4 linked regions of the Callithrix jacchus genome follow. The protein of the gene in region 4 interacts with the protein of the main gene of each other region in a pairwise test. Links are inferred from orthologs where the notes say so. Each region holds a gene or a part of one and is shown on either strand. Other genes may lie near its edges. The genes, in order: FXYD3, PLP1, PRKAB2 and CREB3L1.

Region 1 (7,571 bases), on a different chromosome or scaffold from region 4:
TTGGTTTTTTCGTTTTGCAAGAATTCCCAGGATATGGAGAAATCACAGCCATTTGCAGCCTCGACAGGTTCTTTGGGGCCAAATAATTCCAAAAGCAAAATAAGGACCTTTTTCAAATATGTTTATTATCTATATTATATGCAATATATTAATATATAAACCTATTACCTCTGTGCCTTTAAAACATAACTGACGTCAAATTGGCCAGAAGACTCACTCCAAAGGACACCTCATTCCTGATAGGGGGCAAGTGACTGCACAAACTCCGTTCCCACAGCCCTTTCTTATTCTTTTTTTCTTTTTCTTTTCTTTTTTTTGATATGGAGTCTCACTCTGTCACCCAGGCTGGAGTGCAATGGCACGATCTCAGCTCACTGCCACCTCCGCCTCCCGAGTTCAAGCAATTCTTGTGCCTCAGCCTCCCGAGTAACTGGGATTACAGGTGCTCACCACCATGCCCGGCTAATTTTTATTTTTGGTAGAGATGGGGTTTCAGCATGTTGCCTAGGCTGGTCTCAAACTCCTGACCTCATAGTCTGCCCGCCTCAGCCTCCCAAAGTGCTGGGATTACAGGCGTGAGCCACCTCGCCTGGTCCCATAGCCCTTTCTAAGGGTCTCTGTGTGCTCATTACACTGAGGTCTCTGAATCCTCCAGTCCCAGCCCAGCCCCAGCCCCAGCCCCAGCCCCAGCCTCAGCCCCGCCCCAACCCCACCCCAGCCCAGCCCAGCCCCAGCCCCACCCCAGCCCACCCCAGCCCAGCCCAGCACACACTTGGATGCAGCATGTTCACGTCCAGCCCAGGAAGAATTTATGGTTGACCTGGGTTGGGTAAAATTCCGTAAACATCTGTACATCAGAATGTAAGATCATGGTGTTTAAAACTACAGAACATTCAGAGATTGTCAGAAGGCTATAATTGCTGGTTCCTGGGTTGAAACTAGCCCTTAGATGTGTTTTGTTTGACCTGGAAAATTTTTAAAAAATCTGAACCCAATTTTTAAAATTAAACCTCTTTAAGGTAGTACATTTTCAGGATGCAAAATTCAAAAGCTATAAGAGGGCTTGTGATGCTGAGTGAGTCTCACTTCCACCCCATCCTCCAGCCTCCTAGTTCCCCTCCCCAGAAGCAGCCCTGGATGCCAATCCCCAAAAATATTTTATTCATTAGAAGTATATGCATATGCATTACGTTACCGCTCACAAACGACAGCACACTCCAGGGTTTCCCTACACCTTGTTTTTATTTTTATTTTTTCCCTTAGCAGTCTGTCTGGAAAGTACTTCTGTATCCATCCACAGGCAGTCGGGTTCCTCCAGGATTTTTAGACAACCGTTCTCCAGTTCACCCTGTTCAGGTGAAAGGCAGAGCACCCCCGACCCCCCCAGCTATCCTGCACACACCACGACTTGCTCTCGGCTGCCTGCAGTTCCCAGGCTTCCCAGCAGAGGGAAAACCATTCCACTCCCAAGACCCCCAAGGGGTTGTCCCAGACACAATCAAGCTTGAAGGGTCTGGGGAAGATGCTATCTGCCCAGACACAAAGACCCCCTTAGCTACACTGACTTGGCCCCCAGGCCTCTCCTTCCTGTTTCTATCTCTTCCTGGGGCTCTTGCTTGGAGCCCTATCCCAAGGGCCCCTCTTCCTTGTGGGGACTGACCCCTCCTTCACAGGGGTAGGAGGGAGCCTTGTCCTTGTCTAGGGAAGGCCTGGGATTGACAGCTTGCCCCAGGGAACCACAGAGAGAAAGGGTGTAGCTCTGGGCAAGTATTGCCCGCCCCATCCCTCCACGATGAGAACTGGGGTGGGGGGGGTCCTTCTTTGTGTCCCCAGCAGGGCAGTTCCTGGCAGAGCCTTGACCCGAACCCCCTTTTCCTGTCCTGTGCTTCATGCTCCCAGCAGCTGCCTCTCCCTGGCCTGGCCCTGTGGCCCTCCTCCCTGCCCCCACGATGGTGTTGGGGTCGCCTGGAGTCCAGCTGGTGGCCAGGGCAAAGCTTCCCCTTTCCTGGCCCTACCCCTCCCCGTGACCCCAATCCTCCGCCAACCGCTCAAAGAATCCTTGTTCTCCATCCAGCCCCCAGACAAAAGTCCCTCTGTCTAAGAAGGCGGAATTGAGGGGAGGGGGCACCCCCAACTGGGACCATGGGGGGGCCTGCACAGACCCCATCCGGAAGGAATGCCTGGAGGAGGAGGAGCAGGAGAGGGAGGAGGGAAGGGGGAGGGGGACTAGCACAGTGAAGGGGGCCTTATCTGGATTGGGAGGCCGCCGCCCCCAACAGCGCCCACTCTGCAGACCCAGCCATCTGGATCTCACTCAGCACCCATGGAATGAGCCTGGCTGGGAAACTTCAGCCTGATGCCTGGGAGCCAGTTCTCATTCTCCCCAGGGCAGGGAGCGGGTGATGACCAGGCCTAAGGTCCCACAGTCCCCACCCCAACCCCTCCCTGCCATTCCAGCCACTTCCCTGTATCCACCCCGCCCCATCTCCTGACTTTGGTCATCCCAGCATCTTCTGCTGACCCTGAAACTGTACCAGCAAGCAAGATGTGGCCTGGAGGCCGGGCGCGGTGGCTCACGCCTGTAATCCCAGCACTTTGGCAGGCCAAGGCAGGTGGATCCCGAGGTCAAGAGATCGAGACCATCCTGGTCAACAAGGTGAAACCCCGTCTCTACTAAAAATATGAAAATTAGCTGGGCATGGTGGCGCATGCCTGTAATCCCAGCTACTCAGGAGGCTGAGGCAGAATTGCCTGAACCCAGGAGGCAGAGGTTACGGTGAGATCGCACCATTGCACTCCAGCCTGAGTAACAAGAGTGAAACTCCATCTCGAAGAAAAAAAAAAAAAGATGTGGCCTGGAAGGAAACGTTAAGTTCCCCACAGTTGCCAGCAATCCTTCCATCGGGCAAACACACCATCTAAGGAAAAGAAGTGAGGTCGGGACAGCAAGCCTCACCTCCCTCCTCCCTCCATGGCCCCGGAGGCTCTGTCCTTTAAAGACCCTGGAACCCCCAGGGCGAGGGCCTGTAATCCCAGCACTTTGGGAGGCTGAGATGGGCAGATCACCTGAGGTCGGGAGTTCGAGACCAGCCAGAAAAACATGGAGAAACCTTGTCTCTACTAAAAATATGAAATTAGCCAGGTGTGGTGGCACATGCCTGTAATCCCAGCTACTCGGGAGGCTGAGGTAGGAGAATCACTTGAACCCAGAAGGTGGAGGTTGTGGTGAGGTGAGATCGTGCCATTGCACTCCAGCCTGGGCAAGAGCAAAACTCTCCAAAAAAAAAGACCTCCCAGAACCTTCACCCTTTAAGGTCCTCTCCTGGGATCAGGAGACTGGAGAAAGCTCCTTCCTTAATTTCAGGGGCCGAGTTCCATCCCATCTAATTCTCCCTCTCACCTGAGGCTGCTGTGGCCCTGGGAATTCCAGGGAGCCATCTGATGCCTGAGGCTGGGGAGGGGGTGAAGCTGTCTCTTTAAGAGCAGGAATGGAGCCCCTGGGCCTTAGGGCATCTAACTTGTTTTCTACCTGCCCAGGTTTGCTTAGGGCGTGGCAGCTTCGGATAAAGGCAGGACTCCGCCTGGCAGCCCCGACTTCTCCTGGAACCTCTGATCAGCGTGGTGAACCCCACAGGTGAGCAGCTGGGGCCCTTTCCTCCAAGCCCTCCTTGGCTCTGCTCCTAAATTAGGGAGAACCTACCCACCCACTTCCCCACCACATAGAAGCTCAGCTGTTAAAGAGCATAAAATCTTTTGAGGTGCATTTCTAGAGCCAGGAGATAGGAGAAAGGCCCTTCCCCTAATGTCCCTTTCCCCCCATGCTCCTCAGCGACTGGTTGAGCCAGCTGGGGTGAGGGCAGGACCCGTAAGTGTGGTTGGGTTGTCTGGGAAGACTGAGGCCTGCATGGATTAGGGGTATCTGGGTTGGGGATATCCAGGTGAAGAAGAGGGGGTGCCTGGGTAAGCAGGGGTATCCAAGTGGACCAGTGGTGTGTAAATGGACTTGGGACATCTGGGTGGATGAGTGCTGGGTGGACCCGGGGAGTCCAGGTATTGCGGGGAATCTGGATTCTGGAGACCTCTAGGAAAAGAGGATGGAGCTGCTGGGGGAAGCTGTAAATGGGGAGTTGCTTGGGAAGTTTGAGGTACACAGAAGGGGCGGGACCCTTCTGCTTGCCCTTGAGGATGAGCCCCTTCTCTCACGTCATGGAGGAATTGGGGTTAGCAGAGGGCAGGTTGTGGAGATGGTCCTCAGGCGGGCATTGGGACCTCGTGGCCAGGAAGAATCACAGCAGGTAGACAGAGCGCTAGCTGCAGGGCTGCCTTCCTCTTCTAACCTGCCCGCCGCCCACATCGGTTCAGGAGCAGCTGGGGCCTCTTCAAACAACAGCCTGAACAGGGAATATGAGGGCAGACCCAGCTCCCGGCTCCCCGAAGCCTCTGGAAACGTGGGGCTGGACATTGTTATGCAGAGGCTGGGTGAGGCAGATACCATCTGTCAGTCTCTGCTGGATGATAACATGGGAAGGGGGAAGAGTTGGGCTTCACAGGCCAGAGGTGGCTTGGAGGAGCCCCTGGAAAGAGGCTTAAGAGGTGAGACTCAACAGCCACGGTGACAGAGCATAGGGCTTTAAGATGAATTTGCAGGGTCACAGGATTGCAACTGCCAAGTGGGCTAATCATAGTGCCCCCTGCACGAAGCTGCAGAGATTATATGAATTAAAAAGTGGGAAGCTGAGAAAACGCCCTGTGGGTAGACACTCAGTCTGTATCTGCGTGGATTACCAGGATTCGTATGGTCGTGGGTGACAGCTTCGGACCACAGGCAGGCCACCTACCACCTGTGCCCATATCCACCATGTGGTCTTGCCCACCCACCCTTGCCAGCTCCCCCGCCAACTCTTCTGGGCGTTCTAAACACTTCGTGGGCCTCAGTAAAGCTCCCGAAGTCTCAGGCTTTCTTCCCCTCCAAACCCCCAACCCCCCCCAAAAAAGGAAAAGAAATGGTTGCTCAAAGTAAAACTGTGAGTCCAGCATCTGGAATTAACCGGGAAGCTGAGAGGATTCCCAGGCTCCGGGGTGGGCGGGCAGAGGGAGGAGTCTGTGCCAACCAGCAGGGACCACCCACACCACTGGATGCTGGCACTGCCGTCTCTCAGCATTTCTGCCATCTGTGAAATGCAGACTAGGGGATGACCTCGGGGTTGCTGGGAGGTTAGGTGAGTGAGAAACAGCAAGGTCAGTGTGCACCCCAGGGCGAGGGGAGGAAGTGCCAGCTCTTGCTATCAAAATTATAACTAGGCCAGGTGCGGTGGCTCAAATCTGTATTCTCAGCACTTAGGGAGGCCGACGTGAGCAGATCACCTGAGGTCAGGAGTTTGAGGCCAGCCTGGTCAACATGGTGAAACCCTATTTCTATTAAAGATACAAAAATTAGTGGGGCATGGTGGCACTCACCTGTAGTCTCTGCTATTTGGGAGGCTGAGGCAGAAGTTTCAGTGAGCTGAGATCATGCCACTGCACTCCAGCCTAGGTGACAGCGCAAAACTCTGCCTCCAAAAAAAAAAAAAATTATGGTAACTATGTGCTCAGCAGTTGGGCAGGGGCAGGGCAGGGGAGGGCATGCATGGCATCCAGGGGCTTGCTGCAGCAGCCTTGCAGGCCTGTCTGGGAAAGAGAAAGTGTTTGCTGCCTCGAGGGCCTGGGGCCAGGTCAGGGGCTGGGCTGGGGACCCAGGCTAGGCAGAGCTAGGGCTGGGACTGGGAAGGGCGAGGGTGGGGATGAGGTGACGGGAGGTTCAGGGGAACATGCAGCCAAGCCGAGATTGTTCCCCTCTACCCGCAGTCCCAGTCTCAAGTCATCTCCTTCCCACACCCTGCCCTGGGCAGCTTGAAGAACCTGCTCAGTCCACAGCCTGAAGTCTGCCGTGTCCTGGCAGGGCCAGGCAGGCTCCGAGCTGTCTGTGGAGACACTCCCGGGAATCGGGCCTCCTGCCACCTGGCTCCCAGCACCCCACTTCCCCAAACACACAAGGCCCTTACAGCCCTAAGTTAGGAGCAGCTGCTGGGGAGCCAGGCCTGCTTTAAATCCTGCTTCCTGGCGAGGGCACCTAGTTTCACCTCTCAGAGCCTCAGTTTCCCCATCTGTTCAATAAGGGTAACAGCAGGCAGTGGCACCCTCGTTTGGTGGTGGGCGATTCACGGAAAGCCTGAAGTCGGTGTCCAGGGAGTTATTACGGCTGCTCCCGAGTCAGGCCTGGGTTCCACCCAGGCCCCGCTCCCACGGCACGGCTGCTGCTTACCTCTCAGCCCAGCGAGTCCCAGTGCCAGCCTGTTTGCCCGGGGTGAGCTGCACACCCTGCCTGAGCAGCAGGGGAGGAGGTTTGGGGAGCCACAGCACAGGGCCAGCATCCCAGTGGCTCTGCTAAGGCCAGACCTCCTGCCACCCCTCTAGGCCAGCACAGCACTCTGACATGCAGAAGGCGACCCTGGGCCTGCTCGTGTTCCTGGCAGGTGAGTACCCATCCCTCCACTGCTTTTTCACCTGGATCCCCCAGCTCGGAGGGCAGCCAAGCCTCTGTCTCTCTCCTGTGCTTTTCTACCTTCCCAGGGAGGTGGTAAATGTTAGAACAGCATCGCCTTGAGGGTAAGAAAAGTCATACTGGCCGTATGCAGTGGCCGTATGCAAGTCAGGAGGCCTGTAATCCCAGCTCTCTTGGAGGCCGAGGCAGGTAGATCACCTGGGTCGGAGTTCAAGACCAGCCTGATCAACATGATGAAACCCCATCTCTACTAAAAATACAAAATTAGCTGGGTGCAGTGGCTCTCTCCTGTAATCTCAGCTCTTTGGGAGGCCAAGGCGGGTGGATCACGTGAGGTCGGGAGTTCAAGACCAGCCTGACCAACATAGGGAAACAAAATTAGCCGGGTGTGGTGGTGCATGCCTGTAATTCCAGTTACTTGGGAGGCTGAGGCGGGAGAAATTGCTTGAACTTGGGAGGTGGATGTTATAGTGAGCTGAGTGTGCACCATTGCACTCCAGCCTGAGCGAAACTCTGTCTCAAAAAAAATAAAGAAAAGAAAAGTCAAACCAGTGATTGCCAGGGAGACACAGAAGAGCTGGTTGCACAGCTGCAAAGTCACCGTCTTCCCCATTCTCTCACTCTCTTCTGTTTTTTTTCCTGAGTCTGTTGCTCAGGCTGGAGTGCAATGGCACCATCACAGTTAACCACAGCCTTGAAATCCTGGGGTCAAGCAATCCTACTCTCTTAGCCTCCTACACAGCGAGGACTCCAGACACACAACGCCATGCCCAGCTTGTTTTTAAATTTTTTGCAGAGATGGGGTCTCACTATGTTGCCCAAGCTGGTCTCAAACCCCTGGATGAGTTTGATCCTCCCACTTAAGCCTTCCAAAGTGCTGGGATTACAGGTGTGTAATCCACCAGCCTTGATTGACTATTAAACAGAAATAAGGGAAGCTAGAAGAAATAAAACGACACCTTCAAAGCACTGAAAGAAGATAACTGCCCGGCCAGTTCTCTTGTACATTTTCTTTTGTTTTTGTTTTTGT
Region 2 (7,532 bases), on a different chromosome or scaffold from region 4:
GGCATCCAGTACAGGCAGCAGGCTGCCACCAAGAAGGCTGGCAGTGCCCTCTTGAGGAATCTCTTAGCACTGCCAGGAGTCCAGCTGGACTCTGGAGAATATTTTGCCAAGGTCACCCAGCAGAACCAATGGAAGCAGAATCACAGAAACGGGTTGGGGTGTGTAGATAAAAAATGGCTTCTGGAAGACCTGGGAAGATACCCTATGAGGTCTGCAGGGAGCCCTCAGGAAAGGTCGGCTGATGAGGTGCTGAGGCAGTGTCGGGGTGTACAGAGCAATGAGAACACACTAGATCCTAGGGAGTTGGAAACCTTAAGGCACTGGGATGAGTGAGACATGGGCACCTGGCTGGGCCCCTTTTCTGTCCCTGGGCATAAGAACAAGCATAAGAACAAGGAGAAGACAGGGAATGCGGAGAGAGAAAAAGAAGGGAACAGAGAGAGACAGACACACAGAAATGGAGAAAGAGACAGGTAACAGAGACAGAGATTGAGACTTGGAGAGGAGATAGAATGAATATTAGGGCAGTGGAGATTGAGTAAAGGAGAAGAGACATGTGTGTTAGGGGGATGTGCTTGGTAAATCGGCATCTGTGAGTTTACTGGGCACACATATTTTCTTCCCAGTAGCCTTGCCAACCACAGAGCTGCTGCTGAGAATCTAGGGGAAGCTTTGTGAGAGGGCTCAGTCAGAATTATGTCCTCTGTGTGCAGAGCTGTCTCATCTATTCGAGCTGTGAAGGATCTTTTCTCTCATCCTCTAAATTTGAACTCCCAAAGTTTGGGCTCACGCCTGCCATCTGATGAGCTAAGGGGACACATTTGGTGACTTCTTGCTCTTGGTCCTCCCCCTTCTCCAGGGCCATTCCAACAGTGACCATCCAGAAGTTTATTGCTGGCACAATCCTACAGTTGAGCTTCCAAAGCAGGCATAGTCTATGGCTGGCAAGCAGGGCTGGGGAGGGCAAGGGGCCCTAAGATCCTTTTCCATCAGTCATATGGCCTTAGTCTGATCTGCTCTGGAAAGCTACTATTATACTGTTCTGCAAGGGGCAGTATTTCCAGGGGTCCTTTCTTCTTGGGGCTGATATAAGAGCAAAGGATCTACAGTTCTAGGACGCGAAGCAAGCCTCAAACGGTGCAGGATTTGGCCTCCGGTGGGCCCACAGGGGCATCTGCAGAAGACCTACCTACTTCCTAACAGCAGAGCCCAAGCCAGTAGCACGTCCAAGGTCATAGCCCAAAGAGAAAACTGTAAGACACAATTTTACTTCTCTCCCCCAACAGGATGGTACTAGTCTCCGCTCAATATCTCCCTCCTCTTCTCTCCTCTCCCAAAGCAAAACCACAGAAAACATTCCAGGAGACCATACCTTCCTTCTCCAGAGTCTTCCAACGTGTGACCCTCTTATTATGTGCCAGCCAGTATTTTTAAAGGCCATCCATGGAAGGACGCTGGCCTCTAAGTCAAGGGAGCTGTGAAGGGAGACACGACACTGACAAGGAGCCCAGACAGACACTGCTTAAGATTCACCTGTTCTAGAAAACCCTCCCAGGCTGGTCCCATCTAGCATTGGGCATTCAAATACCTCACAATCTTTAGAAATAACTGATTGCTAAGGCAGGTTTTATATAGTATTTCCCTGTTTTTGCTGCTTAGCCATTTTTGTCTCACTGCTTCTTTCTCTGTGGCAAGGACTATATTTCGTTTCTCCTCTCCACCCTCACTGCCACCTGCTGCTTCCCTTCAACCCACTCCCTGCCTCTCGCCTGCCTGGCTTCAGCTCTCTGATGAAGACATTACATTCTCAGGATGGAATGTTGACTACCTGATTCCCTAATTGTGTTCTTGACTTGTCTCAAAGTTGATTCTCCTCCTTGGAAATCACCCACATCTTCAGCTCTGGCCTTTTCTTTAGCATAGTCTGCGAACTTGCAAAGGTCTTCTTGTCCACTTTTGGGTCTCCATTATTGCAGCTATAAAATTATTACAACGCTAGCCTTCCCCAGCCTAATCACATTCTGTTCATCGAATTGACAGCCTGCATTTTGTCTTCATGCAGTTGAAACTGAAATGGATTTGGAGGAAATTATCTTAAAAGACAGTTTTTTCTTCTCTATTGTGTTCATAGAGCTGGGTGAGGGGGAGGAATGCTTATTTTCCAAGAAGTTGGGGGAAGGGAAAGGTGGAGAGGTCCAAGGGCAACTGGGAGTGAGGTGGGGAGCTGGGGCAGATTTGGAAGGACTTTGGGAACTAACATCTAGGATTTTGACTCTGAGCCCCTCTCGGGGCTCCCACTTGATGGCTTCTCATGCTTGTACTGCACATCCCACACTATTAGACCCAAGGAAGTTTCCAGGACCTCTTCATTTTATTTCCACCCTCAATCCACATTTCCAGATGTCTCTGCAGCAAAGTGAAATTCCAGGCAAGCCTCAGGGAAAAGGAGAAACAAAGACAATGAAACAATTGGTAGTGAAAGGCAGAAAGAGAAGACGGGAGCCCTTAGAAAAGGGAGTATCCCTGAGGAGGTGGGGACAAGGGGAGGAGAAGGGGAGGAGGAGAGGAGGAGGAAAGCAAGCCTGTCCCTTTAAGGGGGTTGGCTGTCAATCAGAAAGCCCTTTTCATTGCAAGAGAAGAGGACAAAGATACTCAGAGAGAAAAAGTAAAAGACCGAAGAAGGAGACTGGAGAGACCAGGATCCTTCCAGCTGAACAAAGTCAGCCACAAAGCAGACTAGTCAGCCGGCTACAATTGGAGTCAGAGTCCCAAAGACATGGGTAAGTTTCAAAAACTTTAGCATTGAAGATTCAAGCAGACACAGGAATTCGCAAGAGAATTTCCAACTTTGGGGTTCGGGGGTTCCAATGGTTTACATGAGTCGTGATTTGGCACTTGTTTTCTTTTTAAATTCCTTAACATTCAGTTAGGTTAACTCCTTCTCTGCTGTACTGAGCATGATGCTTTATTACCAAAGAATTCCAGCAGCACGTGGAGAGTCACACACATCTCTGGAGAGAGTGCCCAGCCAGATGGATGTGGTCATGTGTCCTCCTACCCCCTCACTTCCCTCTATCTTCTCTTTTCCCTTGGTTCCAAGGCCCTGGTAACGGTTGGGTCTGCTTGCTCTCCTGGTTCTGCTGGAGGTCACTGAGCACTGTCTAGACCTCAGATGTACAAACTAATTGCTTGCTTGATGCAATCTTTGAACTACGTTTGACATCAGTAGGAAGCTGGGGGTTGGGCAAGCTGGACTCAGGCTTGGCCACGGCTGAGAAGGCCATTGCCAGGTTCAGGAAATGAAATAAAGTCCTCAATGGCTTGACCATGGGAAACAAATACGGGTAGGAGTGTGTGTGTATGTGCATATGTGTGTGTGCACATACAGGGGTGACTATTTCTAACAAATATCACAGACATAGCTTTCCTGAGGGCTCTCTGCTATGACAAGGAGGCTGCTGGGACATTAGGGCTCTTGCTAAGTTGGTGGAGTATTGAGGGCTTTTCTAGGTTCCATGAACAAAGACAGAAGCTATGAGGTTCTGGTGTTAGTTTCTACTCAGAGTAAGGTGTGCAGAGCACAAGGGTCTTTGTCCCTATGGGACTTCACAGAGTCATGTAGACATTGCTCACATTTGGCAAAACAGAGAGCAGCTTAAACACATCCTAAATGAAATGAGACTCAGTTGTCCCATGTATTCCCTATCAAATGTAGCACCGAGTAGATAGCATCCACAGAGATCAATTTGCAATTATATTGATCTGGTTCAGCCTTTAGGTGTTTCATCATGAAATACTGAGAGAACACTTTGAAGCATGTGCAAGGTAAAATAGGAGGGCAGAGCACTGGACAAGGAGTCAGAAAAATCAGATTCCAATCCCAGATCTGCTACTTATGAACTGCGTGACCTTGGGCAGGTCACTGAATCACCATTTCCTCATCTGGAAAATGGAGATAGCAATAACTACTTTGTCTATTTTCAGGGTTGTAAGAATCAAGTAACAATAATATGGAAGTCTTTGAAAATGGGCAAGATCTATAACAATTGTAAATCATGATAATACCTACTATTAGACAATAATGTGTACATAGGCTGACTCTTCCTCTTTCTGGGGTGGTTGGGTTTTCTTTGTGTGCTTGGATCAGATTCATTTGACCAATGAAGTGTGGCCAGGTGAGAGGTGAATGTTGGAGGAACTCAATTCCTGCCCTGGGTAACATCAAGAACCTTATCTAATGTCAGCCCAGCGGATTGGCTAGGTTGTGCATTAAAAACAGAGAGGGAGTAAAGAAGGATGTTGAATATTACTTCCTCAGAGGATGAAATCCCTGAGGAAAGGTAGGAACAAATAAGGTGACCACAGGGACAGTTGCCTGTTATGGAGGCTGGGTGATTGCCTCCAGAGGAAGATTGCCACAGATAAGGGCACCATTGAGGATGCGCATTGGTTCCCAGCTCCTAAGGGTGGATGATACTTGGGCCAGGTACATGTGATGGAGCAGCCACTGAGTTTCCATTTATTCAGTAATAGAGTGTCTACAATACTTTGAATTATAGACCATCTCTAACAAGGTACGGGACTGCCACTACTTCTGAAGTGGAGTGCACTGCTGTTCAACAATTGCAGTAAACACATTGTATCCTGGAATCTGGGATTGGAAGGAACTTTAGAAGTCGTCTGAACCAACCTTCAGTATGGGATTCATTTTTACAACAACTAATTAAACGTTTGTATAGCCTCTGCTTAATCACCTCCAGAAACAGGGAACTTACTACCTCAACCATATAGAATCCCTTAGGATTGGAAGCAACGAGGAACACTTCAGTAGTGTCTGCACAAAAGGTTTATGGGGAAAATGATAGCTTATTAAATTTTGCCTTGATTGAAAGGGGAATGTTCCAAGTAAGTCTTTGGGATAACGATGGAACCGGAAAGGAGCCAAAGAGCAGTAACTGATTATTCTCTGCTCAGTAACACAATGCCATTATTGAACAGCAAAACATTGTCTGTAAGCCTGTTGTCGTCTGAGAACAGTGGCTGTTACCCTGGTAACCAGACTGTGATGCCTTCATCCAAAAGTGGCTGTTTGCCAAGCAGTATAGTTTTGGCTGGCTTGGAGTAAGTGGGTGGAGCCCAGGCAAAAAGTGTAGCAGCAGAGCGGGGGTCCAGTTTTATACAATGCCCGAAGAATAACTGAATCCCATCAAAATGGCACAAATGCACCAAGAATGCCAGGATCCAAAAATAAACCAGATCCAAACCACCATGTTCATATTCATGTTCACTAGTCTTCCTGGAGACGCTGACTAACATAATCAAGTGCAGCCTTCCCCACCTGACTTCTCTCTCTGGCTGTGCAGAGCCAGAGGAGCTCTTGGAGAGCCAGGCAGATTGAAAGGTATACCCTGCTTTAGGGGGTCTTTGCCTTGGCTCTGAGCTAGGAAAGCCAGAAATGTACTTAACACCCTGACAACTAGAACTGCTCTCTCAGAGTGATCTGAGTAATAACACCCTCAACCCTGGGAGGTGGGTGGGAGGGGAAATATAGTCTCCAAACCCATTAAAGTAGAACTCCAGCCAGTAACATCACTTTTCCCCACTGCTTTTGTCTATTGTCCCGAAGCCTTGAAAGCCATCCCCTGGGTACAGCTCTTTGTCTTGAAAGAAAGCAGCAGTAGAAATGCCTTCCCTGCCCACAGTACTTCAGGTCTAGAGAAGATCAAATGAGGACAGTGACATGATCAGGAAGGGTCACAGCAGTCATCGTAGGTGAATGGAACCACTTTCCCTTCGTTTTCTGCTTTCAGAGCCTACTCAGTGCCAGACCTACTTCAGAAGCGCAGCAAGTGCTGATTGATTAATCCCTCTTGGCTACTGCAAAATGGCCCCGAGGGCTATCTCTCAGCTCTGCACTGGTCTCTGAGCTGTCTGCCAGGCAGGGCTCTAGAAAAGAGTTCCAAGGAAGAGGATAAGGTTCCCCAGATCAGCTTCACACTGTAACCAAGGAGAGAGGGGGAAATGGTGGGAGAATGACCTGAGGAACAAGGTATGGCTACTCTTATCTCTAGTACCAGTTACTTCTCTTTTATCTTCCCAGTCGTGGGCAAGGTAGAGACAATGTGCCAAGGATAAGTTTTAAGAATCAAAGTCTTACCTCAGCTTCCCAATGCTTGTACATAAATCGGAATGTGTACCTCATTCATTCTATGTGTGTGTGTGTGTGTGTGTGTGTGTGTGTGTATCTGAAGAGGAGTAGGGAGTATAGGAAACATGGTCCAGATGCTGTTGCCATGGTAATACTAAAAGGGGACCAAAGAGGAGGCTGAGATTCCTTTTTACTTAACCTTGTCCACATGACTTGACTATCCAGCAGGCTCAGATTCCCAGGCCCCAGAGGCTTTGGGACTCTTTTCCAGCACTTGAATGTGGTATATAAGTGCTGATATCACAAGGGACATGTAGGAAAGACAAAATTATAGGCAGGGCATTGTCTAACCAGGATGAGGCCAGAAGCAAAAGTCTTTGTTTGTCTCTGGCACCTCTTGATGATTATTGTTTTACTCCTAGAACCCACCCACTGATCCCCATCCATCCCTAGTACCAGTCACGGCTGCTCTAGCATTTCGGCCTTATCAACTGCTGTAGGCCCTGATCAAGGAGGCCTCTGTTCATGGGGTGAGGTTAAGGGGTGGGTTCTGGGAGGAGGGTAAGACTGTAGTGCAGATTCGAGACCTAGGGAGATGGGGCCACTTTCTCACTCAATGAGCCTGCCTGTTGTTTAGCTCTATTGTATAGGGTTCTTCTATCTCTCCCTTTGTCAGCTGGATTCAAGGGACAGGCTGGGAATTGTGCAGGGTACAATTGGTCTCTTTCTACCATTCCTTTCGATGAAAGCCCTTCCTCTCCTTCCTTTGATGAGTTCCCAGATTCACACTGAATTTCCATCATGGAGCTGGTACTTGAGGCGGGCCCAGGGCATGGGAAAGGAGGGAGGGAGAGTTGGGAGCTCTTGGCGTCTGTTTAAAGGGACAGCATCAGAATCAACACAGTCCCTTGATGAACCTGTATCTGTGTGAGTCTCATCAGTCCTGTTGATCTCTGTCAGACCCACCCCTGTGAAGAGCACTGGTGAGAAGGGCTTAAAGTTCTGTCACAGATTGATTAGACTTGTTTTGGAAGTTTGTATACAAATGTAGCCAACCATGGTCTGATATTTTCCCTTTGCTTACCTTTTGCCCACACAACTTCATTATATCCATTTTAACACTTGCTTATAGGTAGCTTTGGATTTTGATTCACAGACATACATTTGTTCTCCCCAACAGGATTGCAAGTTTTCTAAAGAAAGGGACTGGCTTTTCAATTCCCTTCTGTTTCTCCTAGTGTCTATGTCACTGCTAGAGTGCTTAATGCTTATACTGAATTCACATAAACAGAAATGAAAGGAAAACACTGGAGGGGGTTGTTATTTTTCTCTATGACCTTTCATCAAAGTCAGGCAGTTTAATCTGATTGAGTTGCATTGGGAA
Region 3 (7,061 bases), on a different chromosome or scaffold from region 4:
CTTTTTCCAGTGCTGAGTCACAGCTTCTTCAGGGACTGATATAAAAATTTGTAGTTGTCTCCTCATCATAATCTAATCAGGATAATAGCTATAGACTTCTGTTTGAACACAACATGAAGGAGTAGTTACCATTTGGGGATGTACAATAGAATTATAAAAGTTTTTTTTTTTTTTCCTTGAGACTGAGTTTTGCTCTGTCACCCAGGCTGGAGTGTGGTGGTGTGATCTCAGTTCACTGCAACCTCTGCCTCCCAGGTTCAAGTGATTCTCAGGCCTCAGCCTCCCAAGTAGCTGGGATTACAGGTGTCCGCCACCACGCCCAGCTAATTTTTGTATTTTTAGAAGAGACAGGGTTTCACCATGTTGGCCAGGCTGGTCTTGAACTCCTGACCTCATAATCTGCCCACCTCAGCCTCACAAAGTGTTGTGATTACAGGCATGAGCACTGCGCCTGGCCAAAAGTTTTTTATATATAATTTATATCCCTATTCAATCTACTTGATTCCTGCTATGATTATTTGCCTTGTAGCACAACTCTTCCTTGTGTGTTATGGGCAAGGCTTTTATTTTAGCTCTCTTAAGGAAGATTAGTAGATGCTGAAGCTTAGGATTTCTACCCTGGACTGATAATTTTTCTAATTTTCTGTAATAGGATTGTATCAATGATACATACTGGAGTGGGTGCATTATTAAAAAGAGATAACACATTCTAGATCAAATTTCTCAACATCCCAAAGAGCTCTGAGGAAGAGTAAGCTGTTTGATTTGTCTGTGCATTAATTTCATTTAGTAATTTTTTTCTCTTTCTCTTAGTGTGACCCAGCCTTACTCCCTGAGCCCAACCATGTTATGCTGAACCATCTCTATGCATTGTCCATTAAGGTAAGTGGAAACCCTGGCTCTACATAGAGCTCCCTGGAATGAGAGGACAAGGGTAACATACGTTCTCAGTGGTTACTTTCTCTGCTGTTTCACTGAAGCTGAAGCTGGTAGTAATGATCAAGTTATGGAAGAACTCTCTTTTTTTAATTACTAGGTTGTTTGTTTCAAAATCTCAGTCTCTGTGACTTGGCTGGTTGTATTGCCCTCTGATAGGAGTTTTTTGCTGCCCAGTTACTTTTTGGGTGACTAGCATCTTTATACCAGAGACTTAAGTTTGAGTTCATAGTACAGGATTTCATCTGCAGAAAAAGCAGGTTTAGCTTCCAGTTCAAAGAATGCTTGAATGTGATGTTAAGGCTTTTACTTTTTTACAGGTAGATTTGAGCTACTTTCAGGTACCCCATTCATATATACTTAGGGGCTTATATGTCTCCTAAACACGAGGTAATGGAGAAATGTGACCAGATTTGCCGGGTCCCCTTCAAGTCTAGAGTCCTCCTTGGTTTTTCTGCTGCTTTAGAGTCTGAGTTGAAAATAGCCATTCTATTCTGTCTTGTTATGTCTTTGTGGTTTGGCTATTGGAATAAAGTTATACGGCTCTGCAGTTATCAAAGTAGGCTGATTATCATCAGAATCTCCTGTCAAAATACAGATTCGACAGTTCCATTCCTAGAGATCCTGAATAACTGTACCTAGGATGGGCCCTAGTAATTTTTTTAAGCTGCTTTTACTTCTTGGATGTGTAGCTGGATTTGGGAAATCACTGGTACAATGTAATACTTACAAATATATTACTGAATGGAATTTTTACAATAACCTGTGAGATAAGTATTATTTTTAACCCCTGTTTTATAGATAAAGAAACTAAGGCTCAGAGAAGGTCAAAGTGCCAGTAAGTACCAGAGGCAGGACTGAGGTCCAGCCTCCATGCTGACGTCATGTTCTTTCCTGTGTTATCATCATGCCAGGTCTTTCCAAGATGCTCTTTCTCACCTGGTCCTCATTTCCACAAAACCTGTCAAGTGCATTTTTTACCTGCCTTGCTTCTGTCATATTTAGGCTTTAGTTAGTCAACATGATTCTGGAATGTTAACCGGAGAGGCATTCATTGTGGATAGTACAGCATGGGGGGAGGTGGAAGGATACACTGGTTCTAAATTGGATTTGCTTGGCTTATTTGGGATCCGATGGATTTTGCCTCCTGTAACTGCTCCTTGGGCGTCATTGAATATGCATAGGCTTGCCACCTCCTCCTGTGGTACATCCGTAGTCTGTAACACAGCCTGGGAAATGGTGCCTCTTGCTCACTTCTTACTGGTTCTGACTCAGGTGAAGGTGTGGATGATTGTGGCTCAGCTTGGTTCTGACCCATTCCTGATTCTCTCAGATTGTTTAGGTGGTTTGGAATTGATCCATTGGACTGGGTGTCCTTCTGAAGAGGATTTTGGTGTTTACTTTGTTCAAAGATAGAGAGGGATTTTTAGGTTTCCTCTAAATCAGAGACGACTTTTTGAATTATCCCTGGTACTAAATGGAAATTAGACCTGCTTTGGGACTTGGGAATTGTTTTTTAGAAGGATTGTTTCTTTTTTTCTCTTTGTCTTTAAGACTTTCTTCTAGATGTGGATGCCAGAATATTTCTTTCTTTCTTTTCCTTGCTAGTTTTAAGCCCAATATTAGAATTTAAAGTAGGGAAGGGAGCAAGGTAGGAGACTAATATTTCTTCAGCACTCACATGTCAGAAACTGTGCCAGATATTCTCATGTAATCATCAGAGCCACCTCAATGGTAGGTATTATCTTTTGTAACAACGAGATAAAAAGACTTGGACATATTCAGTAGATTACCCAAGGCCACAAGTAGAATAATAATAGGAATCAGATTGGAACTGAAACTGATTTGACTCCAAAACCAACCTTCTTCTCTTCTGTCAAGCTGTCTCTGTTAACAGTGAGTGACTGGGAGGCGCTACCTGCTGTCTTAACTAATGAGTTGGCTGCGTGTGTTTCTTCTTGCAGGACAGTGTGATGGTCCTCAGCGCAACCCATCGCTACAAGAAGAAGTATGTTACTACTCTGCTGTACAAGCCCATCTGAAGGGATCCCTTCTTGCCTCCAAGGATTCAGGAGAAGCATCTCCGTTGCCTTTCGGGACTGAACCAGTCTTACCTAAGACTGGAAGGCTGATTTGCTTTGAGGCTGATATGTGTGTTTCAGAGCCTCTGAGTAGGATGCTCTGCTTTTGCATTTGATTGCAGACGAGAGCTTTATGAGTTCACGGAATTTATTTTAAGAAAAAAATATATATACATATGAGAAGAAGGTAAATGGAAGCCTCCTAGCCGCAGCTAGAAGTATTGTCTCTGCCTGTGGGTTTTCACCAAGACCTGTTTGGAGGCACTGCGGGAATAACTATATAGGAAGCTTTTTTCCTAAAATGAAAGAACAGCAGACTCTTAGGATCCTTGCTGGGCGGAGGCTCTATCACTGCTACCTGGGCTCTCCAAGGAATGGGATTGTGCTAGACGGCTGCCTCATTGCAAGGGCAGTCTTTCTGCATGGGTTCTCTGTATTCCCAGAGTACGCGGCACAGTCTGTGTATTGATGTGATACCAGCTGCCTCACAGGAACCCTTCCTTCTCATTTCACATTGTTCCTGGAACAGCCTCCCGTGCCTGACCCCTCGCTAGCACAAAACTCACTGGCTACGTGACTTTTTAGGGCACCTGACCCACCCCAGAGACGAGGGCTGCCAGAAGGTCTTTTTAGCCCAGCACAGGCCCAAGCCACCTGTAGTGCTTGCTTTAACTTCTCCGGAAAATACGTCTCAGCATTATACGGCAGGCAGAATGCAGAACATCTGCTCTTCTGTTTGAGTTTGGTGCCAAGGTTCAGGCTGTACTGGCAAATTCCCAAAAGTCTTCCCTCTTGGCCTGGCCCTACTTCATCTCTTCTCCCTCAGCACACACTTCTGAAAGTAGGAGTGAAACCAGGGAGTACTCTCATGTCTTTCATCCTTGAAAGATTTTTATGTGCTTGCATTTTTTTTTTTTTTAATTTAAAAAATACCTTTTCATTGATCTTAAGAGACTGCATTGGAGAATTTCAGGCTTTTGATAAATGCTTCCTCAAATTCTCTTCTCTAGTCTAGCCCTCCGTGGTCTTAGATTAATATGGCCAGCCCTATACACATAACTAAACACTGCTTTAGATAAACTGCTCAGGTTCATTTAACTCATTGAACTTGATGCACCTAACGAGTTCCCTCATTTCAAAGATGTGTTAGGCCAAGAAACAAGAGAGTATTCCTAATATCCCCAACCATGAAAAGCATCATGCTTTGTTAACTGTTAACTAAGTGTTAACAAGATCATTTTGTTCTCCGGCCTCTTCTTTTTAAAGGTGTTTGATGATGAAGTGGGGTCATTGATTTCCATTTGTGAACTGAAAAATATTCAATCGACTTTTGGGGTTCAGAGATAAAATATTTTTGCTCAAGTGGCGGGGGCTCTTCCGTTTTACAGATAAGAAGGCAAATATTCAGCACTGAAGGAGGCTAAACTGTTGATGAATGAGAGACTCCCTGACTGCTCAGATGAGCCTAGCCACACTGAAAGGGCACCTCCAGGTCAGGTTAGCTACCTCCTGTCTTTCCCATGCAAAGCGGACAACACAGTTGTCTTTGGGCCTGTAGACCTCTTGGGTCCCAGGTGTGAGAGAGTAAGGTATGGGGTTGTTGTTTTACTGGGATGCAAGTAACTAAATGCTTTGGCGGTTAATTGCTAAGAGTAAATACTACTTCAGCCATCTGAGGCCACCTTCTGCAGCGAAAGGCTTTTGTGGAGAACATTTTATGGTCCCAGACACTTGTTGAATAGTGCGCCATTTAAAAATCCAGGCCAGAGCCTGTTATAACCAACTCTCAGGATTTAGCATCTTCAGTTGTACTAGAGTTTTGTTCTTATCCAATACCCATTAAATAAGTGGGCCACTTAGGAAGATCCAAAATCTTGGTTGTTACATGAAGTTTGTTATATTCATATTTCTTGTAAACAGTATCAAAATGTAGTATCTACGTGTTCAGGTGTGAAAATTTTTACTCCTCACAGGTGTATCAGTAGAGGGGGGCAGGAAAAGAGATCTCTTCAATTTCTCTCAGGCCCAAGGCTTTTGTGAACTGGGTCTGCCTCCAGTGACAGAGGGTTTGGTGCTAGTGACCTTTAGATCTTTCTATCTGGAAATGTGCAGAGTGTCAATTTCCCATGTTCGGAGGTAACTCTCAGCCAGATGTGAAATGGGAGCCTCCCAGCTGGCATAGAAGGGAATGGGTAGGAGGAACGGGGCGATGACTCCTCAGCACTGCTCCTTTTCTATACTGCTGATGTATCCCGTGGTTCTGAGAGGCCTTGTCTCGCTCTGCCTGGAAGAGAGGGAGGGAGAGAAGGAAGTAACCCAAAGCACTGCTCATTCATCCTCGTCTGTTGATTAAAGGGATAATTAATTTTATGCAGGAGAGAGTTTGACAGATTTTGAAAATGACTAAAGGCAAAAAAATCTTTTTTAGCCTTTTCTTTGCCTGTTGGAATTTTATGGAGTCAAAGTAGGCAGAATAAAAAATAGGTCTTCACAGGGGCTGACCCTTAAAGAACTGCAGCATGGTTTTGGAGTTGTGGGGAAGAGAAGAGTGGCCGAGCTGAGGAGTTCATAGGAGAATAAAGGCTTGAGTAACGTGGAACAGAAAATGTCCTCTTTGAAACGGAAATTAAATCAGACACCACATGGTGGCGTCCTTGGATATCACTGTACAGAATTAGAGTGTAAAACCATCTTCCCTTTCATCTTGTTCCAATTCTGTTCCCTTTCCTCTCTATTCTGCTTTAAGTTCAGTTGTCAGGCAGACTTTACCAGCGTGTCAGACGTTGTCTAAAACACATGGGTTAGCCATGCTGCTGGTATGGAGAAATTCCACACCATGATGATTAGCCTCCTTTAAGCTTGGAATTGGATAGGATTTAACCATTCTAGGCCACACCCCTGGAGGGCATACCTGACCTCAGTAGTGTTGGCTTTTTAAACGTATACTTGTATGGTAGAGAAACTTTGTAAAAGAAGAATCCAAGAGAAGTTTGTGAGAATCCTACAAACCCAGGCCCATTCACTTTGCTCCAATTCTTTCTTGTCTCCTGTAGATCTAATGGGTCTGGGAGAAAAACTTTGAAAAGTGGCAGTGTTCCATGTATGCTGTTAAAGTGACATTAAGTTTGGAGAAGGGATACCTCTAGACTGGGTTTCTAGTCATCTGGAGTATGAATGAAGACATATTAACAGAATTCCCTGCTTTTAACTGGGGAAACAGGGCTTTAATAATTTTGACCTCAACTAAAAATGATATGCAATAGTCTATGTTTGTGTGTGTTTGAAATTCATTCTATTCTCAGAGATTTCTACATCCTCACATTCTAGTGATTCAGGGCATGGGCTTAACAGCTGATGTCCGGTATATTCCCGCATTATTCCCGTTCATCCTTCAAGCCCAGTTGTTGCTGTCTTCTACCAGGGCTGCTGACTCCACTTACCCACGGTATGGAGGACCCGGGAGGGTAGCAACTGGGGTCTTGCGAAACTCTGGATCTAAGCGTTTGTCTCTCCTTAAGTGCCAATCACAATTGGAGATGGAAGGACTGTGATTTCTGCAATGAACCCAGACTTTTAGAGTAAAAAGCCAAATCTTTTTTTAAATTATAAGAAGGAAAAAAAGAGAAAAACTCAAGTCTCTTACTTATAGAGTCCAATTCTTAGCAATGGAATCCTTCTGGGATTCTAGTTTGGGCTTTGTCTTGATTGGGTTTTCTTGATTGTGCTTTTAAGTGAATAAGCTTTATTACAAATTAACTTTTTATTAGTTTCAATATTAATTGGAGTTAACTTGAATTAATTGTATGTAGCACAGCACTTTTGCAGTAAGACGGGTGTGAAATACCAAACTATGGATTTTGTAGGTGTCAGGTTAAATGGCCGACGGATACCTACATTAAGTAATGTATTAGGTATTGGTGATCTCACTTCTTTTCTGTTCCCCTCCACAGAACACTTACCCAGCCCAGCTTGTGGCTTTGGGACAGCCAAAGCTCACAGCTGTTGGCCAGTCCTAATCTCTGCGTGGGTCTCACATATGAGACT
Region 4 (7,061 bases):
TGAGCCTCTGCCTGCTTGGCCCCTACAGGGTGGAGACATTTACATCAGAGAACAATGAACTGTGGAAGAAGGTGGAGACCCTGGAAAATGCCAACAGGTGGGTGGCGCCTTCTGCATCCCACCTGGCCTCCTGCTCCTCTGCAACCCACGCCTGGCTGTGCATAGCTCTGGGAGACAGGAGAGAGGAGAGAGAACTAAGTTTAGGATGACAGGGACCTCAGAAACATGCCCTAGGGCCGGGCACGGTGGCTCAAGCCTGTAATCCCAGCACTTTGGGAAGCTGAGGCGGGTGGATCACGAGGTCAAGATATCGAGACCATACTGGTCAACATGGTGAAACCCCGTCTCTACTAAAGATACAAAAAAAAAAAAAAAAAAGAAACATGCCTTATAGCCTTGGGCCACTTACATCCTGCCCCTCCCTGTGTTCCCATTTTTCTTCACCTGCAAGACACCTGGCAGGGCTGGTGAGTTGCTTAAGTGAGCAGATGTTTTCAAAGTGTGGTCCTCAGACCAGCAACAACCCCCAAGAATCGTTAGAAATGCTTATTCTCTGGCCCCATGCCAGGTCTACTGAGTCAGAAGCTCCAGGGGTAGGGCCCAGAACTCTGTGTTTTCATAAGCCCTCGAGGGAATTTGGATGCACCCTCAAGTCTGAGAACCACTCGTGTAGAACCTTGTTACTCAAAGCCAGTTACCCGGACAGGAAACATCAGCATCACTTGGGAGCTTATTAGAAATGCAGGCCAGGTGCAGTGACTCGTGCCTGTAATTCCAGCACTTTGGGAGGATGAAGCGGGTAGAACATTTCAGGTCAGGAGTTCAAGACCAGCCTGACCAACATGGTGAAACCCTGTCTCTACTAAAAATTAAAAAATTAGCTGGGCATGGTAGCGGGCACCTGTACTCCCAGCTACTCGAGAGACTGAGGCAGGAGAATCACTTGAACCAGAAGGTGGGGGTTGCAGTGAGCTGAGATTGTGCCACTGCACTCCAGGCTGGGCCACACTCCATTTCAAAAAAAAAAAAAAAAATGCAGAATTTCAGAACTCTCTCCAGACTTACTGAGCTAGAAACTGCATGTTCACAAGATCCTTAGGTGATTCACGGGCGCTATAAAGTTTGAGAAACAGGATTCTAGAGACAGGAGCGCAGTGCCTGGCGGGTAGCAGCCACGCAAAGTCACAGCTCTGGGTTCTTGCCCTGCTCTGCCATTTTTTCAACTCTGTGGAGAAATCGTTAAACATCTCTGGGCCCCTGTTTCTTTGTCTAAATGGGATGATAGAAACATTATCTCATAGGGCCAGGCACAGGCACAGCGGCTTACAGCTGTAATCCCAGCACTTTGGGAGGCCAAGGTAGGTGGATCGCTTGAGGTTGGAAGTTCAAGACCAGCCTGGACAACATGGCAAAACCCTATCTCTACTAAAAATACAAAAATTAGCCAGGTGTGGTGGTGCACACCTGTAATATCAGCTACTCAGGAGGTTGAGGCAGGAGAATTGCTGGAACCCGGGAGGCAGAGGTTACAGTGAGTTGAGATCACCCCAATGTACTCCAGCCTGGCTGGCAAAGTGAGACTGTCTCAAAAAAAAAAAAAAAGAAAGAAAGAAAGAAACATTATCTCATTGGATTGATAAGAGATCATGCAAGCAAAGGACCCAGCCTGATGCTTGGTATTTAGGAATGTGCAATTCATGTCAGCTTTTATTCTTCTTTCATTGTTTTTATTCATTTTCTTGAGACAGGGTCTGGCTCTGTTGCCCACGCTGGAGTGTAATGAGGCGATCATTGCTCACTGCAGCCTGATCTCCTGATTCTAAGTAGCTAGGACCACAGGTGCACACCACCATCCATGGCTAATTTTTTTTAAGTATTTTGTAGAGACAAGGTCTTGGTATATTGCCCAGGCTGGTCTCAAACTCCTGGGTTCAAGCATATTTCCTGCTTTGGCTCCCAAAGTGCTGGGATTGGAGGCATAAGACACTGCACTTGGCCTTCTGTCATTATTTTGTGTTATTTATTTATTTATTTATTTTTGAGTCTTGCTCTGCTGCCCAGGCTGCAGTGGCACAATCTCAGCTCACTGCAACCTATGCCTCTTGGGTTCAAGATATTCTTGTGCCTCAGCCTCCCAAATAGCTGGGATTACAGACTTGTACCACCATACCTGGCTATTTTTTTTTTTTATTTTTAGTAGAGACAGCGTTTCGCTATATTGGCCAGGCTGGTCTTGAACTCTTGACCTCATGTAATCCTCCTGCCTTGGCCTCCCAAAGTGCTGGGATTACAGGCATGAGCCATTATTTTTTATTCCAGATTTCTGATAGTGCCCAGCCATGAGCCTCTGGTAGGTCTTTAATAATTATTTTCTGGAATCAATTACAATAACCTGGACAACAGCCTGGTATGCAGCAGGTGCTCAACACAAGACTTTTTTCTTCTTTCCTTCATTCTTCCCCAGCTTCTCCAGGGGGATCCAGCCACTCCTCTGTTCCCTGGTTGGCCTGGAGAATCCCACCTCACCCTTCCACCCCTCTGTCTCTGGCTGGGGGTTCCTTTCTGGCCCAAAGTAGGTCCAGACCCTTGGAGCTATTTCGCCACCTGCTGTACATTATGGGAACTGCAACTCCCACATGCCCAGTTAGGTGGAGAGAGATTAATTTGCCCACTAAGCCTGTACTGAACACGTTCTCTGTGCACCTAGAAGATTCCATGCTCAGTGGGACCCAGTCCTCACCCTCAAGGAGGCCACAGTTAGTGAAGGAGACTGACATGGAAATCTAAATAAACAAAGGGTTGTGGTGAAAGCAAACACAGCAACAAAACCAACAAAAACAGCTGGGTGCGGTGGCTCACGCCTGTAATCCCAGCACTTCGGGAGGCCATGGTGGGTGGGTCACGAGGTCAGAAGTTCAAAACCAGCCTGGCCAACATGGTGAAACCCCATCTCTACTAAAAGTACAAAAAGTTAACCAGGCGTGCTGGCAGATGCCTGTAATCCCCGCTACTTGAGAGGCTGAGGCAGGAGAATCACTTGAAACTGGGAGGCGGAGGTTGCAGTGAGCTGAGATCACACCCCTGCACTCCAGCCTGGGTGACAGAGCAAGACTAGACTCTGTCTCAATACAAAACAAAGCACCTGACACTAACAATAACTACCATTTACTAGACACTCACTCCATACCAGGCACTGTGCCAGACAGGTCCTTCTTATCAGTTCAGGGTGCTGGGGGGGGGGTGCCAGGGAGGGAAGGTTAAGCCATAGAAGGCTGGCCTCTGTACAGCTGGGAGAGGGTCTTCCCTCCTCCAACTCCCTCGGCCAGGAGCATCACAGGGCAGCCCTGAGCTTCCACAGGGCGACCTGGCCAGTCACCATGAAGCAGGCCACTCCACGGAGGAGCCACACAGGAGGTGACTTTTCCTATCTTGACTGAGACGGGCACCTGGTGTGGAGGCCAAATCTCGAGCCAGCCCCCCTAGGAGGGCTCCAGGAGGCAGAGATGTTTGTGAGGTCAGAGTCCGCCAGCTGACCACTGTGCCCTCCTCAGGACCCTGCTCCAGCAGCTGCAGAAACTCCAGACTCTGGTCACCAACAAGATCTCCAGACCTTACAAGATGGCGGCCACCCAGACTGGGACCTGCCTCATGGTAGGTGTGGCCCCCTCCACCACAGGCCCACAGGAGGAGCGTTCTTCCCAAAGCCAGCTTTTTCCAGGGGTGGGCAGAGCTCTGAGGATTGGTAACATCATGGGCGGCGTCACCAGGGTACACCGTCCTGGTACCTGGTGGGTGGTTCTAGACGACCCCAGCCTCCTTCCCCGAGCCCATGGCGCCTTCTGCCTCACACCCATCCCCAACTGGTCGACACAGTGTAGATGTGTTGGTGACACCAGTGGCCCCAGCTAGGGGACAGCTGGGCAGGTTCCTTGAGGAGGCGGCTTCCACAGGCTTTGTGCAGAGAAGGGCTTGGGGAGACTCAGGGAAGAATGAACCTGGTTCTTTCTGGAACGGATGGCTGTGAAAAGGCCAAGGAAACCCCTGGAAACCTGGAAGGGCTCCCAGGGTGTGCTTCAGACCTCTTCTAGTCCCTCTTCCATCCTCTTCTGGAAATGGCCAGCCTCTTGCCACCTGGCTCAGCCCACCCCAGCCCTCCAAGACCCTGGAGCTGTCGGGTGGCAGAGCCAGACTATGGACAGGGGCATGTGGGCTCCCTGGCTCTCAGCACTCCTGCTAGCCAGGCTTTCCCAAATCCTGCTGATAACGTGATGTGCTGGTGTGTCCCCCTCCCTCAACCCAGCCCCGAGCCCCACCTGCACCTGTCCCTTCCTTTCCTGACTCCTCTACCCCATAGAGTGACTTTCCATTGTCCACTTCCCTCCTGCTTCTAGCACTGCCTGTGGCAACCCCCCTACAATGGGCTGGGATGGCCTGAGCGGCCCCTCTCTTCCCCAGAGAGGATAGGAGACCCCACGTGTAGGAGAGAGTGGTTGGCTGTAGGAGCTGTTTCCTTGGGAAAATGCTGAGACTTTTGTACTTGTTGGTTTGGGAGATAAGGGGTAGGGTGGTCAGGACCACAGCTCTCCTCGCCCCAGATCTGATGCCACTCTCTTTGCTACCAGGTGGCAGCCTTGTGCTTTGTTCTGGTGCTGGGCTCCCTTGTGCCCTGCCTTCCCGAGTTCTCCTCCGGCTCCCAGACTGTGAAGAAAGACCCCATGGCCGCAGACAGCGTCTACACGGCCAGCCAGAGTGAGTGCCCTCTTGTCCCGCCAACTCCCTGGGCTGGGGCTGCCCTGCCCCAACCCCAGTGTCTAGGCAGAAGCCAGACAAAAGAGAGAAGCCAAGTGTGGGTCAGCATTATCTCATTCTGCCTCGTCATTTTCCAGATGGGGAAACTGAGGCCCAAAGAAAGTCTATGCTTTGTGGTAGAATTGGGACTAAAATACAGCGCTCCTGATGCCCAGCCTAGCTCCCAGAGAGCTTCAGGAGTGGCTTGCAGGAGGTGGGTTTAGAGGATGACAGGAATGTTCCAGCCCCAGGTCCCATGCATTATGGTCAGTGTTTATGGGGCATCCGTTAGGCACCATCAGTATATCATGATAGGTACAGCAAGTGAGTTTCAGCTCAAAGGTCATTTCCAATAAGGTGGTGGTAGCTGCTTGAAACATTGTGTTAAGAAGGACCCTGACCCGGGCACGGTGGCTGATGCCTGTGATCCCAGCACTTTGGGAGGCTGAGGCAGGTGAATCAGCTGAGGTCAGGATTTCAAGACCAGCCTGGCCAACGTGGTGAAACTCTGTCTCTACTAAAAATACAAAAATTAGCTGGGCATGGTGGTGTGTGCCTGTAGTCCTGGCTACTTGGGGTGCTGAGACAGGAGAATCGTTTGAACCTTGGAGGCAGAGGTTGCAGTGAGCCAAGATTATGCCACTGCACTCCAGCCTGGATGATAGAGTGAGACTCCGTCTCAAAAAAAAGAAAGACTCTGAGGCACCATTCAGAATCGACAGGAAGGAGTGTCATGATCCATTGATAATGCCTACCACAGACAGAGGAAGGGTAGTGGTGGTGTGGGTTCAGATATCTACCATTTGCACAGGGTATAGTGAAGTATAGTGGTTAGGAGCATGGAGATAGCAAGTCTGTCATAACTGGCACTGCCAAGTGCTAACTGTGTGACCTGGGGCATATGTCTTAAGCTCCCTGAGCTTTCATTTCTTCATCTAGAAAATGGGAGTGGCAATTCTGCACTTACTGAGCCATGGCTGTGAGACAGTGCATGAAACAGCACAGTGTCTGTGCTTATGAAATGATCAAATTCAATCTCTTTGGGAAAAGTTCACGGAGGAGAGAAGAGCTACATCGTAGTAGCTGGCAAAGGGAGAACTGGGGTAGGGCCTAGCAAAGAAGAATGTGGATTTCAGAGGGAGAGGATCCTTCAGATGGACCCACAGAGGAACTTCCTGGCAGTCCCTCATCAATTACCAGTCACTTACCAAGAACCACGTGTCTGGCAGGGCAGGAGGAGGAAGAGGAAGCAGATAAGAGGTCAGAGGAGGGAAGATTAAGGAGTGAGTTTCAAGAAGGAGGGATATGGCAGGGAGGATGAGCTAGACATCCAGCGCCTTGAGGGGAGGAAGCTGGTGTGGGGAGGGTTAGGGGAAGAGGAAGCAGAGGTGGGGAAAGTGAAAGCCCCTCCCCGGACATGTGCAGCCTGAGGAGGAGAGAACAGGATAGTCGCTAAAGGCATGTGGGCAGCAGCGATGGGAGCAAGGTCTGGGGAGCCATGTGTCTGCTTTTCCAAGGTCACAGAAGCCACTGGAGAGAATGGAATGGAAAGAGAGCTGGGGTTGATGGAGAAAGCCACAGCTAGAGGAGGGAATGAATGAGCCCCTTGGAGGGAAGGCAGTGGATTTTAGGCCCAAGACGTGAGCTGGGCAGAGAGGAGGACACATCCCAGCAGGCAGATGGCTTTGGAGCAGGCTGGTGTGCAGAACTGGTGCATTGCACTGTTCCAGGGACCACTGTTCACACAGACTGTGAGGACATGGCTGCAGAGACACCGAGGTGGCAGATCCTAGCGCCAGGCAGGCCTGGGTTCGCATCCTCCCTTCAGGGGGGACAACTTCCCTAAGTGCCTGGAACTTCAGCTGCCTGCTCGGGGAAGAGGGACTAAAGAGACCTCATTCCCTAGAGTTTCTGTAAGATTTTAACCACTCGACATAGGTCTGTGGGCCTTGCATAATGCCTAGCAAATGTTGGGTGTCCAACAAATGTTTGTCTTGCTTCTCCGAAGGGCAAACTAGGACTTAGAATGGGGAAGAAACTTATTTCAGGTCTCACAGAAAGTAAGTGGTGGACTGGCCGGGTGCAGCAGCTCACTCCTGTGATCCCAGCGCTTCGGGAGGCCAAGGTGGGTGGATCACTTGAGGTCAGGAATTTGAAACCAACCTGGCCAGCATGGTGAAACCCCATCTCTACTAAAAATACAAAAAGTAGGGCCACGGGCAGTGGCTCACACCTTGTAATCCCAGCACTTTGGGAGGCCGAGGTGGGCAGAT

The links.
Region 1: the proteins of CREB3L1 (region 4) and FXYD3 interact in binary tests that used the Homo sapiens proteins (3 or more experiments, as listed by UniProt). The two-hybrid records come from large-scale screens. The link is inferred for Callithrix jacchus from reciprocal best matches to the Homo sapiens genes CREB3L1 and FXYD3.
Region 2: the proteins of CREB3L1 (region 4) and PLP1 interact in binary tests that used the Homo sapiens proteins (3 or more experiments, as listed by UniProt). The two-hybrid records come from large-scale screens. The link is inferred for Callithrix jacchus from reciprocal best matches to the Homo sapiens genes CREB3L1 and PLP1.
Region 3: the proteins of CREB3L1 (region 4) and PRKAB2 interact in binary tests that used the Homo sapiens proteins (3 or more experiments, as listed by UniProt). The link is inferred for Callithrix jacchus from reciprocal best matches to the Homo sapiens genes CREB3L1 and PRKAB2.

What each region holds. Positions count from the first base shown.
Region 1 is NC_133523.1:31,451,356-31,458,926, forward strand, and holds the start of FXYD3 (FXYD domain-containing ion transport regulator 3), read left to right. Parts: upstream 1-3,592; 5' UTR 3,593-3,634; intron 3,635-6,453; 5' UTR 6,454-6,472; coding exon 6,473-6,512; intron 6,513-7,571. UniProt on the Homo sapiens protein: Associates with and regulates the activity of the sodium/potassium-transporting ATPase (NKA) which transports Na(+) out of the cell and K(+) into the cell.
Region 2 is NC_133524.1:99,824,155-99,831,686, forward strand, and holds the start of PLP1 (myelin proteolipid protein), read left to right. Parts: upstream 1-2,654; 5' UTR 2,655-2,776; coding exon 2,777-2,780; intron 2,781-7,532.
Region 3 is NC_133519.1:7,274,890-7,281,950, reverse strand, and holds part of PRKAB2 (5'-AMP-activated protein kinase subunit beta-2), read left to right. Parts: intron 1-813; coding exon 814-882; intron 883-1,737; coding exon 1,738-1,774; intron 1,775-2,900; coding exon 2,901-3,133; 3' UTR 3,134-7,061. UniProt on the Homo sapiens protein: Non-catalytic subunit of AMP-activated protein kinase (AMPK), an energy sensor protein kinase that plays a key role in regulating cellular energy metabolism.
Region 4 is NC_133511.1:111,333,177-111,340,237, forward strand, and holds part of CREB3L1 (cyclic AMP-responsive element-binding protein 3-like protein 1), read left to right. Parts: intron 1-28; coding exon 29-97; intron 98-3,551; coding exon 3,552-3,651; intron 3,652-4,622; coding exon 4,623-4,749; intron 4,750-7,061.